5 linked regions of the Xenopus tropicalis genome follow. The main gene of each other region encodes a partner of the protein of the gene in region 2 in a complex. Links are inferred from orthologs where the notes say so. Each region holds a gene or a part of one and is shown on either strand. Other genes may lie near its edges.

What was found.
Region 1: taf1b (region 2) and ubtf share a complex: the UniProt entries of both Homo sapiens proteins name them as parts of the pol I pre-initiation complex. The link is inferred for Xenopus tropicalis from reciprocal best matches to the Homo sapiens genes TAF1B and UBTF.
Region 3: taf1b (region 2) and taf1a share a complex: the UniProt entries of both Homo sapiens proteins name them as parts of the transcription factor SL1/TIF-IB complex. The link is inferred for Xenopus tropicalis from reciprocal best matches to the Homo sapiens genes TAF1B and TAF1A.
Region 4: taf1b (region 2) and polr1b share a complex: the UniProt entries of both Homo sapiens proteins name them as parts of the pol I pre-initiation complex. The link is inferred for Xenopus tropicalis from reciprocal best matches to the Homo sapiens genes TAF1B and POLR1B.
Region 5: taf1b (region 2) and taf1d share a complex: the UniProt entries of both Homo sapiens proteins name them as parts of the transcription factor SL1/TIF-IB complex. The link is inferred for Xenopus tropicalis from reciprocal best matches to the Homo sapiens genes TAF1B and TAF1D.

Annotation. Positions count from the first base shown.
Region 1 is NC_030686.2:18,523,039-18,527,021, reverse strand, and holds the start of ubtf (nucleolar transcription factor 1), read left to right. Parts: upstream 1-1,180; 5' UTR 1,181-1,607; exon of another isoform or gene 1,608-1,841; intron 1,842-1,976; exon of another isoform or gene 1,977-2,387; intron 2,388-2,415; exon of another isoform or gene 2,416-2,557; intron 2,558-2,618; exon of another isoform or gene 2,619-2,915; intron 2,916-3,008; exon of another isoform or gene 3,009-3,585; intron 3,586-3,983. UniProt on the Homo sapiens protein: Recognizes the ribosomal RNA gene promoter and activates transcription mediated by RNA polymerase I (Pol I) through cooperative interactions with the transcription factor SL1/TIF-IB complex.
Region 2 is NC_030681.2:138,009,644-138,013,677, forward strand, and holds the start of taf1b (TATA box-binding protein-associated factor RNA polymerase I subunit B), read left to right. Parts: upstream 1-1,223; 5' UTR 1,224-1,388; coding exon 1,389-1,406; intron 1,407-3,666; coding exon 3,667-3,765; intron 3,766-4,034. UniProt on the Homo sapiens protein: Component of RNA polymerase I core factor complex that acts as a GTF2B/TFIIB-like factor and plays a key role in multiple steps during transcription initiation such as pre-initiation complex (PIC) assembly and postpolymerase recruitment events in polymerase I (Pol I) transcription.
Region 3 is NC_030681.2:9,682,486-9,686,481, forward strand, and holds the start of taf1a (TATA box-binding protein-associated factor RNA polymerase I subunit A), read left to right. Parts: upstream 1-1,196; 5' UTR 1,197-1,352; coding exon 1,353-1,461; intron 1,462-3,996. UniProt on the Homo sapiens protein: Component of the transcription factor SL1/TIF-IB complex, which is involved in the assembly of the PIC (pre-initiation complex) during RNA polymerase I-dependent transcription.
Region 4 is NC_030681.2:38,746,331-38,750,513, forward strand, and holds the end of polr1b (DNA-directed RNA polymerase I subunit RPA2), read left to right. Parts: intron 1-83; coding exon 84-254; intron 255-481; coding exon 482-638; intron 639-826; coding exon 827-1,023; intron 1,024-1,793; coding exon 1,794-2,047; intron 2,048-2,415; coding exon 2,416-3,298; 3' UTR 3,299-3,676; downstream 3,677-4,183. UniProt on the Homo sapiens protein: Catalytic core component of RNA polymerase I (Pol I), a DNA-dependent RNA polymerase which synthesizes ribosomal RNA precursors using the four ribonucleoside triphosphates as substrates.
Region 5 is NC_030678.2:100,285,161-100,288,673, forward strand, and holds part of taf1d (TATA box-binding protein-associated factor RNA polymerase I subunit D), read right to left. Parts: intron 2,980-3,513; coding exon 2,804-2,979; intron 1,283-2,803; coding exon 1,231-1,282; intron 1-1,230. UniProt on the Homo sapiens protein: Component of the transcription factor SL1/TIF-IB complex, which is involved in the assembly of the PIC (preinitiation complex) during RNA polymerase I-dependent transcription.

The sequences.
Region 1 (3,983 bases), on a different chromosome or scaffold from region 2:
CCAATGGGCATCATAGGGGTTAGCACAAGTGGCATAACTTGGTTGCCCCCTGCATAAAAAGCTTTTGAGAGGGTCCGGCGCAACCAGTCCCTCCATCCGGCCAGACTGCACCAGTATATTTAAGGTAGGAAAGGGGCCTGGGAGGGGGGACTAAGGCACAGCAGACCCTGCAGTCGGGCCCCCCACCCCAGTCAGGGTTGGACTGGGCCCAAAACCCATGGCGCTCTCTCCCCTGTTGCACATAAGCTAAGACACACGGCAGAGGGAGTTGAGCAGACAGTGGGGGCCAGGACAGGGCCCCCCAGTTCAACCCTGTATATAGTTACACCCCTGGTTAGCACTGCTGTCTGGGTTTCATTCTAGCCTGGGCACTAGCTGCAACTCCCTGGGATTCCTCCCACACTCCAAATACATACAGGCAGATTAAGTGGTACTGATAAATTGACCCTAGTGAATGTGGTAGCAACCTTAGATTGTAAGCTCCACTGGAGCGGGGGCTGGTGTACAATCTCTGCTCATTGCTGCAGTGTCAGTACCATATAAATAAGGGTTAATAACTGTAAGGCGCAAAGCCCTTCCCCTGGCACAGTATGGGCTCCTGGCATCTCTAGCTGCTCCCCGCTCATTATGCCTGATTGCTGTTCATGTTAAAGAGAGAGAGAGAAGAAACCCTCCTTGATGTGCCAGGAAAGCTTCCCCCATGATTGGCTCCCTCTCTCTGACGCTTTCAACAACAAAGGTGGAGTCAAAAAAAAAATTAGGTTAAAAAAAAGGAGAAGATAAATAAGAGTCAGACAGGAACAACATATAGGGAATAAAAACCTGTTATGGGGGGTTTAGCGCCTGTGTATGGTTGGAAGCGCTGAGCAGCCAGCAGCCGCCGGATCTGAGCAGCCACCAAGCCCTGCTTCAACCATGATCACTGTATTGTTGGACTACAGCTCCCAGAATGCCCGCACAGCCTATCTGGGAGCTGTAGTTGGACAACAGCTGGAAGCAAATTGCTGCCGTATGAGGTGAATGTGAGGGGTGCCTGTAGCGGCAGCTGGTAATGGGGAGCAGATTGCGGTGCTGGCTGGATGGAGGAAAGGGAGGGATGGAGGGATCAGCTGGAGCCTGTTGCAGGGAGAGATTGGAGGGGGCCTGGCTGATTGGAAGGCTGTATAGGCACGGAGAGCGATGGAGGCGGGGGAAGTGCGAGCTCTCTGCGGGGACTGGGTCTGAGTCCACGCCCGGGGCCAGCGCTGCAGATCTGGCCATCATTCAAGCGCCGCTTCCCCAGCCTTGTACAGGGGAGGAGGAAGCCGAGCCCGGGCTGCACACACACACACAGGAGGTGGGTTTCACTGAGCTCCATAGAACTCCCCCGGAGCTGGCGAGGCCCCCCTGCCGGGCTGTGTAGGGTGCAGCAGCGGGAGGAGGAGGAGGCGGCTCCCCGCGTTCTGTCTGCCCGGCTGCTGCTGCAGCGACGCTGGGCGGGGAGAAGGAGCAGGCAGCGCCCCCCCTCCCCCGGAGCTCTCGCCATTACCCAGGGGCTGCCGCAGCCGCTTTGTCTCCGAGATCCGGACAAGCAGATTCCCCCCAACATCCCTGGGAGAGACAGTGGGGTAAGCCGGCTTGGGGGTCTGCGGGCACCTGGGGACGGATACGGCACAGATCGCTGGATTAGTATAAAATCCACTACCGGCCGGGGAATTTGTAGCCACCGAAGGGCGTTAGTGTGCGGGGAAACCCGGGGAAAATGTCACCTCCAAGCGGGCACGATTCAGTCGGGCTTGCCGAGAAACATGCACTTTTCTCGGTCACCTTGCGCGACTCACCCCGTTGCGGTTATGGGGAAGGTACGTGTAGCCTCAGTTTCCCTGCCCGGGCTCACCCTGCGGGGCATGGGTTTGTTTAATGCGGGGAAGGGCACTGTATGTGACGGGCAGTGTGGAACCCAATAAGGGCAATAGCAGCCCGGGTTCCCGCTGCGCCCTCTCCCAGGCACCCTCCCCTCGGGCTTTGGCTTGTTTTTCTCGGGAAGAGGCTGCTAGTTCCGCGCTGGGGCTGCTGAGGTCGCTCTCCCCCGAGTCTCCGGCTCCTCCTCCCCCCTTGGCCGGAAGGTGAGGCCCGGCAGCTGGGAACAAGGTAAGAGCTGCGGAGGGGGAAGGAGAGAGACGTTCCCAGGGGAGCAGAGAGGTGGGTGCCCGGGAAGATTGCGGGGAGCTGCGCCGACACGGCTCGGAGCACCGAAGGGAGGGGGCCGGGAACATGAGGCAGAGCTGGCCGGGGCTCGGGTGCATATTGCGGGGAAACGCGAGGGGGCGTCCGGCTGCTGTTGCGGGGCTTCCGGGCGCGACACGTGGGCTGGCAGGGGACTCGGGCTGGGGACGGCGCTTCTCACGGTGAGTAGGAGCGGAGAGGGGGTAGAAGGTGACCCTGTTTCCCGGGAAGAACAGATGCTGCCTGGACTGCGCTGCCGGTAGTTAAGGAGGCAGTCGGCCGGTGTCTAACGGGGAGCGAAAGAATCATTCGCGGGTAGAAGCGAAGGGACCCATTGTGGGCAAATAACGAGGTGGGTGAAAGTCGGCCGAGCCTGTGGCGCATTATACTACCGCAGGCAGCCCGACTGGATCGTCTGATGGTTTAACCATACGGGCTCTGCTTTAGCCGAATCCGATTCGGAGCCTTTCCCCGCACCTTGCTCAAGGCAGCCCAAGCGGCTTCCCGGCACAGGGTGAACGAGTCGGGGCTACCAGCGATCCCAATGAAAAGCGTTTTAAGGCGGAGGCTCCCCCTGGGTCGCGGAATGGGCTGATCCGTACTAGTGGAAGCCGTGCCGCGGCAGGGAAGGAGCGGACGCCGGAGCTACGGCTGGTCCATAACAAAGGGGGGAGCGCTTTTCTCGGGAGCCGCTGGTTCGGAAGCGGGCGGTAGGTTAGGGTGTATTCCTCGCTACGGACGGGGGCTCGAAAAGATGCTATTTACTGGTACGGAGAGTCAGAGCCCGGGGTGGGGGTTGGACTAAGCGGGATAGGGTGCCCGGAAAGCTGGTGTTTTGGTCCAGTAAGGACCAGCCCCGCAGGCATTACTCGCTAGGGTCAGGGGTTCCCGGGTGAGACGGTTCTTCGGTAGAGTCAGTGGGTTGTGTCAGGTTGGAGCGACCCCTCCCTGGGACTGGAGACGGGAGAGTACCGCTGGGTATGCGGCAGTGCTCAGTCGGGCCGCCCTTACGGCTAGGAACCCGGCTTTGCCTGGGGGTCGCTGCCGCGCTAATCCTCCCTCGCACCGGACTAGGGTTGTACAGTTACCGGGACCGCATCGCTGCTGCTTCCCGACGCGCCCAACAGGAATCCCGGCTCCCAGCCAGAAGTTCCTCCCTTTCGGGGGTGGGATACGTCTGCTCTTTCCGGATCCCGTCCCCTCCCGGTGCTGGGCGGGTGCTACGGTGAGAGGCGGCGGGGGCCCCCTGCAGGCAGAACGGAGAGTCCTAGCCCGACTCGGGGTGGGGAATTGTGACCTCAGAGCGCCCTTTCCTGGAAATAGAGCAGCGCTGCTTCTTAGTACCCAGTCCTGTAGCCGGAGCTCGGCCCGTACTGATCGGTGTGTTTGTATGGCAGCTCCTACGCCGTGTACGATTCCCTGCAACTGGCGCTGCTGTTGAAAACTGTAGTTCAGCATCAGTCACGTCACACACACATTTGCACTGCTGCCACTAGACTCGTTTGGGTTTAATAGCAAAACCATTTAGGACCCCTTCACTTTTCCAGTAAGACATGGCCACTGTGACCCCCTATATCTCCTGGACTACCCCAAAAGTCGCAGCTGTGAGACTCCAAATATCCTTAACCTCATACCAGAACCATGTGACCATAATGGTAGAGCTGGAGGGGCAGATTATAGGTAATGCCCCGACTGTGTTTGCCACACACCCATCGCATGTAAAATGCCAAGCAAGCTGATATTTACTCCCAGCCCATGCCTACATACCCTTTTATACT
Region 2 (4,034 bases):
AGGTATTCAGTCTCCTCAATGTAAAATTTTGTAGAGCCACCTTTTCCATCAACCACATAAGAGGTTTAAGACGGAACCAGCTTTGCGCAATGTTAATAAGTGATTTTGTTCCAATCCAAAAAATAGGAAAAAAGCTTCAGCAGGTTTACTGCAAAACATTTATTGTGGGTAGTGGTAACACGACATGTTTCGGGTCAATACCCTTTATCAAGCGTACCCAATATATAAAATATAAAATATTGGGTGCACAACAGAAAGTGCAAATTACCATAACAAAGTTTTGTAAATCATGTCTTGATGTTACCAGAAACATGATAAACTGCAGAAAAATTGTATCTTTTGTCCAGATGTCCTTGACGGTGCTATTTACCCTGTTAGCCAAGTCTGAGGGGTATAAAGCTGATGTCTCTCTGTAAGATTTCCAATGAAGATTTCAGGGAGAAAAATACCTTTAAGGGTTTTCAACTGTTCTATAGAAAAGGCAGATGACGGTTGATTAAAGAGGAGAGACGTGGCACAGCTATAGGGAGAGCAGACCGTGGCCTTTGGGGGCCTAAACAGAGAGGACCTGGTATGCAGGTTGGCGCACTGGAGGGGCAACTGTGGGTTGAAGAAGGTGCCTGGGATTCCAGAGATAAACCCTTGCATGGAGCACAGGTCTACTTGGTTGTTGCCAGAATTGCACACTTAGGGGTATATTTATCATGCTGTGTAAAAAGTGGAGTGAAACATTACCAGTGATGTTGCTCAGGGCAACCAATCAGCAATTAGGTTTCAACAGTTAGAAAACCAAAGCAAAGCATATGATCGGCTGCTATGAACAACATCACCGGTGATGTTTTACTCCACTTTTTACACAGCATAATAAATATACCCCGAAGTGTAAGACTTTCCTCTGAGATTAACAATTCCTGCTGTAGAAGACATCATGATTTATCCAGTGTTATTGGCTATTACATAAGACATCCGTTGCCAGCCTTTATAGGTTTCTGGCTAATAATACTAGGATTTCTGGCTAATAATACTAAAAACATGCTTTATTTTGCAAAGCCTATTCACCCAGTTTTATATTTACACTGAACCTTTCCTTAATGTCTCCCTGACCCTGAATACGTCTGAACCCCATGGCATTATCTCTTTACAGTGCAGAGCTTTTCAGCATTAAAGCTGGAACATTCTACTGTGTAGGTACAAAATCGATGGGTTCATGCAGACCACGTGACTATTAGTAGCGGCCAGGAAATGGCAAAGGAAGTGACGCGAAAACTACGCGACGCCACAAAAATCCACAGTCCTGTAACCGCGAGTTTACCGGCGCCGCCGGCACCAAAATTTGACCATTAGCGGAGCTTCCCTTCATAGCGCGGACCCCGGACACGTAACGCACTATGGAGGAGGAAGACGCTGTGAGTAAGGGCGTGTGACGTCATGCCCGGCGACGCTCGGCGAGTCACGTGTCGTAGTTGTAGGAGAAGTCGCGTTGGTTCTATTAGGGTTTTCATCCCACTCGAGTTTCTTCTACGTGTGGTGTCAAATGCAGTGGAAGTGTATAAAGCTTTAATGGGTATTGGATGTGCTGAGGCATTTCATGCATGGCTATATTGAGAAGAGCGATAGTTTGGGAATAGCCTCATGTGGGGAAGTAACTCATGGGAAATGCTATATTAATTTTCAGTTGGATATGTAATAAGGTGCCAAGTTTACTTTAGACTCCTTAACAACCAAAAAGCGATGTGCTTTCATTAAACAAATGCCATCTGCTAATTGGTTTTGTGGATTACAGTGCATGCAGCAAACTTTGTACAATAGTGCGTCACACTCATATTCACGAAAAGGTGATGTACCGTGTTAGTCAGTCAAAATGTTTACAGAATAACCCTTTTGAAATAAAAAAATAACAAAAGTGGTATAAAGGTGATACATTTATTGGCTAACTAAGATAACTATAGCAAGCTTTCAGAACATTCTAGTTCAGGGGTAGGGAACCTATGGCTCGGGAGCCAGATGGGGCTCTTTTGATGGCTGCATCTGGCTCACTGCCAAATCTTTAATAAAAAAAACAAACGGGGGTGTGGCCTGTGCTCGGCAGATAGACGTGTTCTAAGCCTTAGAACACGTCTTCTATCTGCCGAGCGCAGGCCACACCCTCCTCCGCATCGCATCCGGTATCATTGGGACCCACCCTACCTTGTCCCGCAGCATCCGCGGCCAAACATATTGTACGGCTCTCACGGAATTACATTTTAAAATATGTGGTGTTTATGGCTTTCTCGGCCAAAAAGGTTCCCGACCCCTGTTCTAGTTCCTTTGTCAAGCTGATTACCTCTGAAAGCTTGCTATGGTTATCTTAGTTAGCCAATAAAGGTATCACCGTTATACCGTTTTTGTTATTTTTTATTTCAAAAGGGTTACACTGTAAACAATCAAATTCACGTATGCTAACCTGGCAAACCATAGCTTTTTGGAGGTCAGTTTGGTAATAACTACCTTTTTGTTTGCTCTTTTTTAAAACATTAGCAGTTCTATCCAGCTGCCTTATATTAAGTATAAAATACATCAGACGAGAAAATTAAATGATTGTTTGAAAGCAGTGCTGTTCAACTATGGTACTGAGGTCTGTCTTTGTGGTGGAGGGTTGATAATGGAAGCTAGTTTTGACAATTCCCATTCAAACCACACCCATGTTACAGAGCTGCCCCCCCATTTCTTTAGGAGTTACCCAACTTTGGTGGTTCTCCCCCTTTCTCTTGTCCTCCAGCAGCATTCTCCTGATTCTCGCAAAAACCTGTGGTGAATTTTGTGGTGTGTATGCCCAGTAAGCGGTTTGGGGTCAGGTTGACAGCTCTAATGTTATCACAAGAGCTTTTAAGACCACACTCACATTAATGGTGATAGCACAGTAAATACCCAAATAGTTGGTGCTCACTGCAGGAAATCACCCTTCCTTCATATGTTAAAGAATTATATTATGTCATATTAATACACCCTTAAATCCATATGCCTCCTCCTCTGTGGATACACAGCAACTCCCAGCACATAATTACTGAGTAGAGTATGGCGCACACAGGCAGCATAGGGCAGGCAGAGTATGGCACACAAAGGCAGTGTAAGGCTGGCACAGTATGGCACACAACAGACAAAGTATGGCAGATAGAATGGCACACAGGAGCAGGTAGAGTATGGCACACACAGACGGCATAGGGCAGGCAGAGTATGACGCAGCATGAGATAGGCAGAGTATGGCATACACAGGCAGCATAGGGCAGGCAGAGTATGGCACACACAGGCAGCATAGGGCAAGCAGAGTATGGCACACACAGGCAGCACAGGGCAGGCAGAGTATGGCACACACAGGCAGCACAGGGCAGGCAGAGTATGGCACACACAGGCAGCACAGGACATGCAGAGTATATCACACACAGGCAGCACAGGACATGCAGAGTATATCACACACAGGCAGCATAGGGCAGGTAGAGTATAGCACACAGGCAGGTTAGGATGACCAGATCATTCGAAAATTCAGGGATGTGTAATAAATGCATCTTCCGGGGAGCCACTCACTGAATTAGGCCTAGGTTGGTCATCTTGACCAAGGCAGTTTAATAATATGTATATTGTTTTGAATAACCTTGTTCTGCTTTCTGATTTGTTTTATATCTTCAACAGAGAGGCTACAACAAGCCTTGTCCGCAATGTTCTGAGGTTAACTGGGCAATAAGTGATGAGGGCACATTCTACTGCAAGAGCTGCCACACTGTCATAGAGGTATGTAAGTAGATATAACAAGTCTTTTCGCCTGTCTCTCACTCTTCTGAACACCCATCTGGGTGACTTCTTCCTCCTAATCCATGAACCTTGACCCTATTTATTTTATCTACCATCTTTAATAAAGACAACAATCACCAAAACCTTTCCTCAATTTATTCTCACTTCAGGTATTCTTAGTGTTCTTGCATCTGGCTTTGCCCAGTACAAGGTGCTGCCAAATTGTTTGACTCATTATGTCTTGTCTTATGTCTAATAACCTCTTATAA
Region 3 (3,996 bases), about 130 Mb from region 2:
CTGCCTATTGCTTAGTATAGCTGTAACTATTGCTGCCTATTGCTTAGTATAGCTGTAACTATAGCTGCCTATTGCTTAGTATAGCTGTAACTATTGCTGCCTATTGCTTAGTATAGCTGTAACTATTGCTGCCTATTGCTTAGTATAGCTGTAACTATTGCTGCCTATTGCTTAGTATAGCTGTAACTATAGCTGCCTATTGCTTAGTATAGCTGTAACTATTGCTGCCTATTGCTTAGTATAGCTGTAACTATTGCTGCCTATTGCTTAGTATAGCTGTAACTATTGCTGCCTATTGCTTAGTATAGCTGTAACTATTGCTGCCTATTGCTTAGTATAGCTGTAACTATAGCTGCCTATTGCTTAGTATAGCTGTAACTATTGCTGCCTATTGCTTAGTATAGCTGTAACTATTGCTGCCTATTGCTTAGTATAGCTGTAACTATTGCTGCCTATTGCTTAGTATAGCTGTAACTATAGCTGCCTATTGCTTAGTATAGCTGTAACTATAGCTGCCTATTGCTTAGTATAGCTGTAACTATTGCTGCCTATTGCTTAGTATAGCTGTAACTATTGCTGCCTATTGCTTAGTATAGCTGTAACTATTGCTGCCTATTGCTTAGTATGGCTGTAACAAGGATGTCCAAAGGGATCAAAGCTGAAAGGAATGACCAAATGTTCTGTATGGGCCAACTGTAACAATAGTGAGGCAATAATTGAAAAACTGGGTGGGTTATAGGGTTTTTAAAAATCAAAAATTAAAACCATGTCCATTATTCACAAAAACATGGCAGTGTAACTTCAAATAAAATACTAAGTTTGGGATATCAGGAGCAGACTCTGAGGGTAGTGGGTATTGCTGGTAATCACCAGAAAAATAAAGCTTTTTTTCATATTTACCTCACCCACAAATATAAACAAAGTGTTTTTTTTGTTCCCATTTACATGTTCTGTGGAGCAGAGAAAGCAAATATTTGTTTTTTCATCAAACACTGGGGATAAAGCTTCTAAGGGCAGTGGCCATGGCAAGGAAACACGAAGGAAAAAAGCAGTCGTTATTTTCTTTATTTATTCTCTAACAAAATCAGAATCTGTGAGAGCAGAATAATCAGTCAGCGGCCCCCACTGCCAGCTATTGCCTGACTAACTCTTCACCCAATGACGAGTTGGCGCCGTCTCCGCCCCTTTTATACGTGGTTCATGACGTCATATTCTCGCGAGAGGAGGCTAGCGGCGTGTGGCTGAACATGCCTGCGGGATGCTTGGGGCTGGAAGTGCAAGCGGCGCTGCGGGGAATGTAAACACAGTGTGAGGGGGAAGCAGCCCGCTTGTCTGATTGTAACCGAGGGGAGATGGATGGGAGCAGCGAACGCAGTGCGGAAAGGGAAGATTCCGAGGAGGGACCGAGTGAGGAGGAGGTTCTGGGGCTCCAGCTGCCGGTGCCAAGAAGGAAACCCCACGGTAAAGACACTTAAGGGTATATTGATCATGCTGTGTAAAAAGTGGAGTAAAACATCACCAGTGTTGTTGTATATAGCAGCCAATCAGATGCTTTGATTTGATTTTCTAACTGTTGAAATCTAATTGCTGATTGGTTGCTCTGGGTAACATCACCAGTACTGCTTTACTCCACTTTTTACACAGCATGATAAGTACATACCTCCCAACATTTGAAAAATGAAAAGAGGGACAAAAAGATTTGGCGCGCGCGCAGTGCGGCATTTTTTTTAATCACGCCCCCTTTTGTGGCCACGCCCCAATTACCACACCCCATTAAAAAAAAATACCCCTTTTATATAGATGAAATGGCGGGCGCAGACGAAAATGTGCTATACCCTCATACTGTACTACCTAAGGAAAACAATATAGCAACTCCTACATATAAATACAAGTATAGAGAGAAGGCAGTCAGTTATAACTAAGTACCAGTTTTGCCCCCCCATACACAGTAGCCCCCCCATACACAGTAGCCCCCCCATACACAGTAACCCCCCCATACAGAGTAACCCCCCCATACAGAGTAGCCCCCCCATACAGAGTAGCCCCCCCATACACAGTAGCCCCCCATACACAGTAGCCCCCCATACACAGTAGCCCCCCATACACAGTAGCCCCCCATACACAGTAGCCGTCCCCCCGATCACAGTGTCCCCCCGATCACAGTGTCCCCCCCGATCACAGTGTCCCCCCCGATCACAGTGTCCCCCCGATCACAGTGTCCCCCCGATCACAGTGTCCCCCCCGATCACAGTGTCCCCCCCCACAGGTCCCCCCGATCACAGTGTCCCCCCCGATCACAGTGTCCCCCCCGATCACAGTGTCCCCCCCGATCACAGTGTCCCCCCCGATCACAGTGTCCCCCCCGATCACAGTGTCCCCCCCGATCACAGTGTCCCCCCCGATCACAGTGTCCCCCCCGATCACAGTGGCCCCCCCGATCACAGTGGCCCCCCATTCACAGTACCTCCCATAGGCGCAGGCTTCTTCTGCTGCTTCGTTATGCCTCTCCTTGTGCAGCGCGACAGGCCCTTTTATAAGGTTGCGCCCATGCGTAATGACGTCACACCCACAGGCGCAACCTTATAAAAGGGCCTGTAGCGCTGCACAAGGAGAGGCATAACGAAGCAGCCGACGAAGCAAGAACATCCGGCTACAGCAAGCGCATCCTGCTGTGCCGGATAGTTCCATGAATGTCCCGCAATGCGGGACAGTTGGGGGGTATGTAAGTATACCCCTTAGTAGTGACTGTCTGTGGCACCTTACAGCCCCCCTGGCATTCCCAGTACCCAGAGGCACAAACAGCCCCCCCAGCCCAATAAATAGTGACTGTCTGTGGCACCTTACAGCCCCCCTGGCATTCCCAGTACCCAGAGGCACAAACAGCCCCCCCAGCCCAATAAATAGTGACTGTCTGTGGCACCTTACAGCCCCCCTGGCATTCCCAGTACCCAGAGGCACAAACAGCCCCCCAGCCCAATAAATAGTGACTGTCTGTGGCACCTTACAGCCCCCCTGGCATTCCCAGTACCCAGAGGCACAAACAGCCCCCCCCCCCAGCCCAATAAATAGTGACTGTCTGTGGCACCTTACAGCCCCCCTGGCATTCCCAATACCCAGAGGCACAAACAGCCCCCCCCCCAGCCCAATAAATAGTGACTGTCTGTGGCACCTTACAGCCCCCTGGCATTCCCAGTACCCAGAGGCACAAACAGCCCCCCAGCCCAATAAATAGTGACTGTCTGTAGTACCTTACAGCCCCCCTGGCATTCCCAGTACCCAGAGGCACAAACAGCCCCCCCCCCAGCCCAATAAATAGTGACTGTCTGTGGCACCTTACAGCCCCCCGGCATTCCCAGTACCCAGAGGCACAAACAGCCCCCCCCCCAGCCCAATAAATAGTGACTGTCTGTGGCACCTTACAGCCCCCCTGGCATTCCCAGTACCCAGAGGCACAAACAGCTCCCCCCCAGCCCAATAAATAGTGACTGTCTGTGGCTCCTTACAGCCCCCCTGGCATTCCCAGTACCCAGAGGCACAAACAGCCCCCCCCAGCCCAATAAATAGTGACTGTCTGTGGCACCTTACAGCCCCCCTGGCATTCCCAGTACCCAGAGGCACAAACAGCCCCCCCAGCCCAATAAATAGTGACTGTCTGTGGCACCTTACAGCCCCCCGGCATTCCCAGTACCCAGAGGCACAAACAGCCCCCCCCCCAGCCCAATAAATAGTGACTGTCTGTGGCACCTTACAGCCCCCCTGGCATTCCCAGTACCCAGAGGCACAAACGCCCCCCCAGCCCAATAAATAGTGACTGTCTGTGGTACCTTACAGCAGCCCCTCTGGCATTCCCAGTACCCAGAGGCATTGGCCAGAACCCACAGATTGCCAGTCTGGGCCTGGTGTGGCTGTAGAGTTGCTAAATTGTATATAGGGAACCTCTGCCCTCAGTAAACTGATACATTTAGCCCTCATAAAGGAGACATATCATGTTAAAAT
Region 4 (4,183 bases), about 99 Mb from region 2:
ACTAGGGAGGCAATCAGTGCAGTGAAGACCTTCTTCAACTTGATCTCTTAATAGTTTTTTATGTTTGCTTTATATTAATGCAGGTGAAACATGAAAAGAATGTGCCTCCATGGACTGAAATTGTCCTTATCCCAATGACTGGGAAAGCAAGTCTGTACCCTGGGCTTTTTCTTTTCACCACCCCCTGCAGGATGGTACGTCCCGTCAGGAATTTGGCCTTGGGTAAAGAGGAATTGCTTGGCACTTTGGAACAGGTATTTTTCAGTGTTTTGTACATAAGTAAATCTTCTTTAATTTGATGACCATATTTTAGGCTCCTTCTTGAATTCCATTACAATATTGTCTCTGATTGGTAATCTCCTGCATGACTCTAGCTTTGATCCTGTATTATGTGTTAAACATCTGTTGTAAGTTTCATTTTCTTTGCAGGAATTATCCATAATGTATTGTATTTCACTGGTGTTACTTGTGTTTGCCCCAGGTTTTCTTGAATGTGGCAGTTTATGAAGGTGATATTGTACCCGGAGAGACCACTCACCAGGAGTTTTTCCCGCACAGCATGCTGAGTGTAGTAGCAAATTTTATCCCCTTCTCAGACCACAACCAGAGTCCCAGAAACATGTATCAGTGTCAGATGGGTAAGTCATCTTTTAAGCAGGGCATCAGAATTTGGTAAGAATGTAAGATTTGTTCTGGTTAAGTTTAATCTACTCTTGTAAGAGCTATAAAATAGTATGTAGAGCTAAATATTGCAGCAGAAAAGTTCATTACTTGAGGAAGAGACCCTTGCTTTTTCCTGAAATTTCATAAATTGCATTATTTCCAGGTAAGCAGACAATGGGCTTCCCTCTTATGACTTATCAGGATCGCTCTGATAACAAACTGTACCGGCTACAGACCCCACAGAGTCCTTTAGTTCGGCCTTCCATGTATGATTATTATGAGATGGATAACTATCCCATTGGCACCAATGCAATCGTAGCAGTCATTTCGTATACAGGGTATGACATGGAGGATGCCATGGTAAGTAGTTGTCCCAAATTTGGTGAATAGAGATTTACATATCTGCTTATTTATTGAAATTATTAAAAACATTTGTCATAGGTAGTAATTTCTTAAACTTACTTGCCCCTTTCCAGCCTAGGCTGAGGTTTTAAAAGGCTGTAAAACCAGTGTGTGCCCCCCGCCCCCCCTAATACTATCAGAGATGGACAGGTATCGGCAGTCGCCAGAGGCGGTGGAGTATGAGTTGCTTCATCACCAGAAACGCTGGTATAGTTGGTGATGTCATGCATATAATTAATAAGAATAATATTATCTATTTAAAAATGTTATCAATTTATTTTTGTTAAATAAACTGTAAAATATGAGGGCATTGCTTTTACGTACATTAAATATTTATTTTCTGTGTGTCTGTATTTACACCTTGGGGTGGGGGCATCCATTTTGTTTGCCTACTATTCACTAGGCACAATGCATAGAAGATGCCTGTACTTAATACTTATTAAAGGCAGGTGATAAGTAAAGGGCACCCTTGTGTCCAAACTGTAGGGAGTACAAGTAGGAGCATACTATTTTAATAGATAACATTTTAATCCCATTATTGCACTTGGCACTGGGCCTACCATTGATAAGTGGGACCTTATGTTGGCCTACATACCAGCTAATGACCAGAAATCACTAAATAAAACTTCAAGTTTCCAGTGCACAATAAATGCATCAGCCTTATACAAGAACCAGATCTTTTGTTCAGTATCAGCTTCAGGGGTGACATCTGTACTGGTGTTTTGCAGGTCTTGAACAAGTCATCATGGGAAAGAGGCTTTGCTCATGGAAGTGTGTATAAAACTGATCACGTGGATCTCAGTAAAAAACTTAAAGATGGAGAAGATAATCTAGTTTTTGGCATCAAACCAGATGATGAGCGGGTGAAAGGAAGACTGGACAGCGATGGCCTCCCTGCTGTTGGTGCTGTTCTGCAGTTTGGAGACCCTTACTATGGCTACCTGAACCTTAACACAGGGGAGAGCTTTGTTGCCTATTACAAGTAAGTATTAATTTGCTTGCAGTTCCCTGGGATCCTGTATGAATGGCCTAGTATTATTTTGAATGTACAAGAAGGAGTAATGGATACATTATCTATCTGATACTGATACTACAGATCCTGGTTTAAATTCTTGATCCTGGGCAAATCACCTAATTTCCTCGTCTTTGAGCCCTAATTGTATGTTATAACTCCAATTCCACACCTTGTTTTGCTTTTTTGATGTTGTGTACAGCAGCCCCCTTTGAAAATTGTTTATAGTGGTTTAAATAAAGTTGTACAAACAAAGACCAAAGAGCATTTATGCACATAGTTATTTATAATAAGACAGGCACCAGATATCATTCGTATCTCTTATTTATTCTTTTTAGGAGTAAAGAAAACTGTGTAATTGACAACATCAAAATCTGCAGTAATGACATTGGTTTTGGAAAGTTTAAGTCTGTTTGTGTCACCATGAGAATCCCCCGTAATCCAACAATCGGGGATAAATTTGCAAGTCGGCATGGCCAAAAGGGTATTTTGAGTAGGCTTTGGCCGTCTGAGGATATGCCATTTACAGAGAGTGGAATGGTTCCGGACATCCTTTTCAATCCTCACGGATTTCCCTCTAGAATGACCATTGGGATGCTGATAGAGAGCATGGCTGGAAAGTCAGCAGCCCTGCATGGTCTCTGCCACGATGCCACACCCTTTACATTTTCTGAAGAAAACTCTGCCCTTGAATATTTTGGAGAAATGCTGAGAGCAGGTGGTTACAATTTCTATGGCACAGAGAAACTATACAGTGGCATAAGTGGCCTGGAACTTGAAGCCGATATTTTCATTGGGGTGGTTTACTACCAGCGCCTTCGACACATGGTCTCTGACAAGTTTCAGGTTAGAACAACAGGTGCCAGGGATAAAGTTACCAACCAGCCTGTGGGAGGCCGTAATGTTCAAGGTGGGATACGTTTTGGAGAAATGGAGCGTGATGCACTGCTGGCCCACGGTACCTCTTTCCTGCTTCATGATCGACTTTTTAACTGCTCGGATAGGTCGACAGCACATGTGTGCATAGAATGTGGAAGCCTACTCTCTCCTTTCTTGGAAAAGCCTCCGCCTTCCTGGTCATCCATACGCAACCGAAAACACCACTGTGAAGTCTGCGATCGTACGGATACTGTTGAGACTGTATCAGTACCTTATGTTTTCCGTTATTTTGTGGCTGAATTAGCAGCCATGAATATCAGTGTGAAACTAAGTGTGAGCTAGTTTCAAACACCACGTTGTGTTGGGCAACTTCTGTATGATTATAGTAGTACCAATGTGCCTCCTAATTGAGTAAAAACTTTGTATGTATGGATTTCAACTGCTAACTCACACTGTGGCAGCTTTGGTTTGCTTCAGACTGAATCTGACTAAATTATTTTTATCAGCATTTTTACTGCTGAAACAATTTCCAATGTGAAAAGGAAACAGTTATTTTTACTGAGTTTAAAAATGCTCAGAAGTCTCATGCTTGCGGCACACATCCCTACCAGAAGTGTCTAGAGAATTTGGACTTTGGGGGAATATATTTTTAAAGTAAAATATATGGTGACATGAACAATGCTGTGTGACATAAAGCAACAGTTCCCACATTAGTCTTTATATCTTTTGTATTTCATGGTTTGTTTGTTTTTTTTAAATACCATTACATGTGTACAATTAGATGCTTAAAATGACATACGTCTTTTGTTTAGTGCAAAGAAAAGTATGCACACCTGCTGCCTGCAAGCAGTGTAGCTATAGGGGGGAGCAGACCCCAGGGCTACAGCGAGTAACACAAAAAAGGCACTCTCTTGAGCATGGAGTGGAGGTGGCCAAAAATTGTTTGCTAGTGTACCTGGGACCAGGGAATACAGTGGAAGTACTAAATGCCTTTTATTCATAGTTTCTGTATTGTGTAACACTATTTTGGGATAGATTGGACCAAAACCAGGCTAGTTGTAGAGCATTGGTTACATGTGACTCTCATACATCAGGATGGGCCTCCGCTATATGGGAGAAATTACTGGAGGATGGTGTTATACCAGGGGGCTCAAACTCAATTTACCTGGGGGCCGCATTATCGGATAATGCAAGGCACGGCGGGCGGGAGCTGCTGATTGCGGAAAT
Region 5 (3,513 bases), on a different chromosome or scaffold from region 2:
TCAAAGCAGCCAGACAGGTGGGGGGCCACGGGCCGCGGGCCGCCAGTTGGACAGCACTGAGGTAACCTATTGTTTCTCCTACTCCCATATAACTGTAGGAGTCGCAAGCTGGACTTGGCTTTCTTACTACTGAGTGCTATTCTGATATCTGCTGAGAGCTGCTATCTTGCAACCTTCCCATTGTTCTGCTGATCAGCTGCTGGGAGGGGTGTCACTCCAACTTGCAGCTCAGCAGTAAATCATTACTGAAGTTTATCAGAGCACAGATCTCATGGTTGTGGCATTCTGGGAAATTAGAAATATGGTTAGCTCCACGTTAAATTTCAAAATTAAATGAAAAAAAAAAAAAACAGTTTGTGTTTTTGAAAAATAGATTTCAGTGCAGGATTTTGCTGGAGAAGCTCTATTAACTGATATGTTTTGAAAAAAATTATGTTTTCCCATGACAAATTCGGATTAAATACGATAATTTGTGATGATAGGAAATGTCACAAAAATGCTTACGAAAAAATGATAATAGTCGCGATAATATCAGAACAGCGTTCTGACTTTGATCCTTCTGTGCATGTTTTTGAAAGCCTCCCATAGGACTCAATGGCAGTCTGTAGCTCCAACCTGGCCCAAGAAAAGTCACGATAACGAAGCTTTAATGAATCCGAAACTTCCGTACTCGTTGCGACAAATACGATTTTGTTGCACAAATTGTCGAACAAGTCGTGCAAATTAACGAAAAAAGTTTCAAAAAATACAAACAGTACGAAAACTTAGAAAAAATACAAATTTTTTGTATTTTTTGTATTCAGTACTTTGATGAATGTGCCCCTATGTGTTCCTGCCTATTGTTGATAAATTACCCCAATTGAGATTTCAAGAGGAGAACTGAGGAAAATATAAGCATCTATGTTAAAACACAACCCAAACATATAAGGATATGGTAATTGATAAAAAGTTCAGTGGAATTGATTGCTTAAGTTGTGCAGAATATATTGGTAGTAATATGTGGGATAGAAAGGTGAGAATACCAGCGAGAATAGAATGAATGCATGTATAAGACACAGTGATTAAAAGTGTAAAAGTTTTAAGTCTAGAATTGAGATCACAAGTCAAAAGGAACAGATGAGAAAGTTCTCTCTATTTTTTTTTACCTATGAATATAAGGCTCATCAACAGACAGCAATCTGGATAAATACTTTCAAAAGAATATTTGCTTATTAGAAAGCTGTGACTCACCACAATTTTTGCATCATAATTACACAGACCTTCATTACTGGTAGTATTCGCACTGTAAGATTGTAAGAAAAGCATTATTGCTTATTGTATTCAATGATTCAGAATCGAGTTAACTATACACACTTAAAGGGGTTGTTCACCTTCAATGTCCACCAAAAATTCTCTCATGTAAAGCGCACTGTAAAATCTACTTCTGTCTCCCTGATCAGTTTTCAGAAGGGATGGGAGTGGCACCTGACACACCGAGAACTTCCAATATGCTTACATCATCAAGTCCAGGCTTTGCCCTTACTTTTTTCCTACTCGACCAATTCATTGGTTGCTTCTACACTCTAACCAGATACATAAATTAAAAAGGTCATTGGTTAATTTCTTCCTTGCTAAGGCATAGGCAAACAGACTCAGCATATCACAAATGTACCATTCTGTTATATTATATTTGCACAAGAGACACAACCAGTACTGGCAGTACTATGTGTGACATTATATAAGGATATAAGGAAGTAAAACAGCAACCCCCCCCAGTACAGGGTCTGTGCAGAAGTGAAGGATCAAGAGGGATGATTCTGAGGTTACTATCTCTTCAGCTGCACATTTTTTGTTAACTATGTATATGGCAATGATTGTTCCATTAATGTGAACTGTTAGAACAGTTAGATTTGTTAATGTTGTACAAAGATGAACAACCCCTTTATCAATTCTGTATAATCTATGTGAAGTGCTATGCAATATATGGGTGCTGTTTAATATAATAGTAATTCTATGTTTAAAATATTTTGCAAAAAAAATATTAACATGCAAAGCACAATGCATTTTTATGAAGTTTAGAATGAATGCCTGAGCAGCTTCTGTGTACATTTAAATCAAGTAGCATTTTAAACATTATGATTTAAAGAGGCAAAAAAATAAAAAGGTATAATACTTTAAAAATAAGTCTGCACCTCTGTTAGGTGGAAACAATATTCCTAACATAGGTGCCCTTAAGGGCTCTGGCACACGGGGAGATTAGTCGCCCGCAACAAAACTCGCTGTTCGCGGGTGACTAATCTCCCCGAGTTGCCATCACCTGCCATCCCACCGGCGAAAATGTAAGTCGCCGGTGGGATGGCACACGCGGTGAGATTAGTCGCCAGCGAACATGGAGTTTTGATCTCAGCTATAACGGCTAGAGACTGCAGGAAGGATGCTACCTAAAATGGCAGCTGCTAACTTAAGCAAACGGAGAAAGCTTCTAAAGCCGTTTACTCAGGTATGTTAATGGTTTCTGCAGAATAAATATATTGTTCTAGGTTGCACTAATGTGGCAGATCTATTGGTAGTAAAATGCCAAAATGACTTTCCTTCTCCTTTAAGCACCTTTTCTTTTTTAGTTGCTGCTGTTACCACAATATTTCTACTTTTCCCATTTTCATTTTTAATACTATTGTCTGCATCATAATAAAAGTCTAGTTTTGGGTGAACTGCCACTCTAGTGACCCTAGTAGATGGAACTAGTTTTTATCACATATTATAAATGTAAAAATTAAATCTTTTTAGGATAAAGCACAGTTGCTGATCAAATGTCAATGCTTACTCGTGCTCAGCGATAGGTGAAATCGGTCCAGCATCATCCAGGTACCCATATTTATGCATTTCTAAACTTTCATTCTCTAAATCTTCCCCTAAATCCATGCCCTGTAATGAATTTTGCAGATGTCGATCACACTTAAGCTTTTCAATATGGCTCAGAAATCCACCAAAAACAGATTGCTGGTAAAAAAAAACAAAAAAAAAAAAACACACATTAGACCAGCGGTTCTCAACCTGTGGGTCGGGACCCCTTTGGGGGTCGAACGGCGCTTTCACAGGGGTCGCCTAAGACCATCGGAAAACACATTTTTCTGATGGTCTTAGGGCTCTGGCACATGGGGAGATTAGTCGCCCGCAACAAGTCTCCCTGTTCGCGGGCGACTAATCTCACCGAGTCGCCATCCCACCGGCCACAATGTAAGTCGGCAGTGGGATGGCACATGCGGCGGCGCAATTTCAGCAAATCGCCGAAATTGCCTCGCGAGGCAACTTCGGCGATTTGCCGAAATCGCTTGCGCAACGTGTGCCATCCCACCGGCGACTTACATTGTCGCCAGTGGGATGGCAATTCGGGGAGATTAGTCGCCCGCGAACAGGGAGATTTGTCGCGGGCGACTAATCTCCCCGTGTGCCAGAGCCCTTAGAAATAATTTTATGGCTGGGGGTCACCACAACATGAGGAACTTTATGAAAGGGTCGTGTGGCATTAGGAAG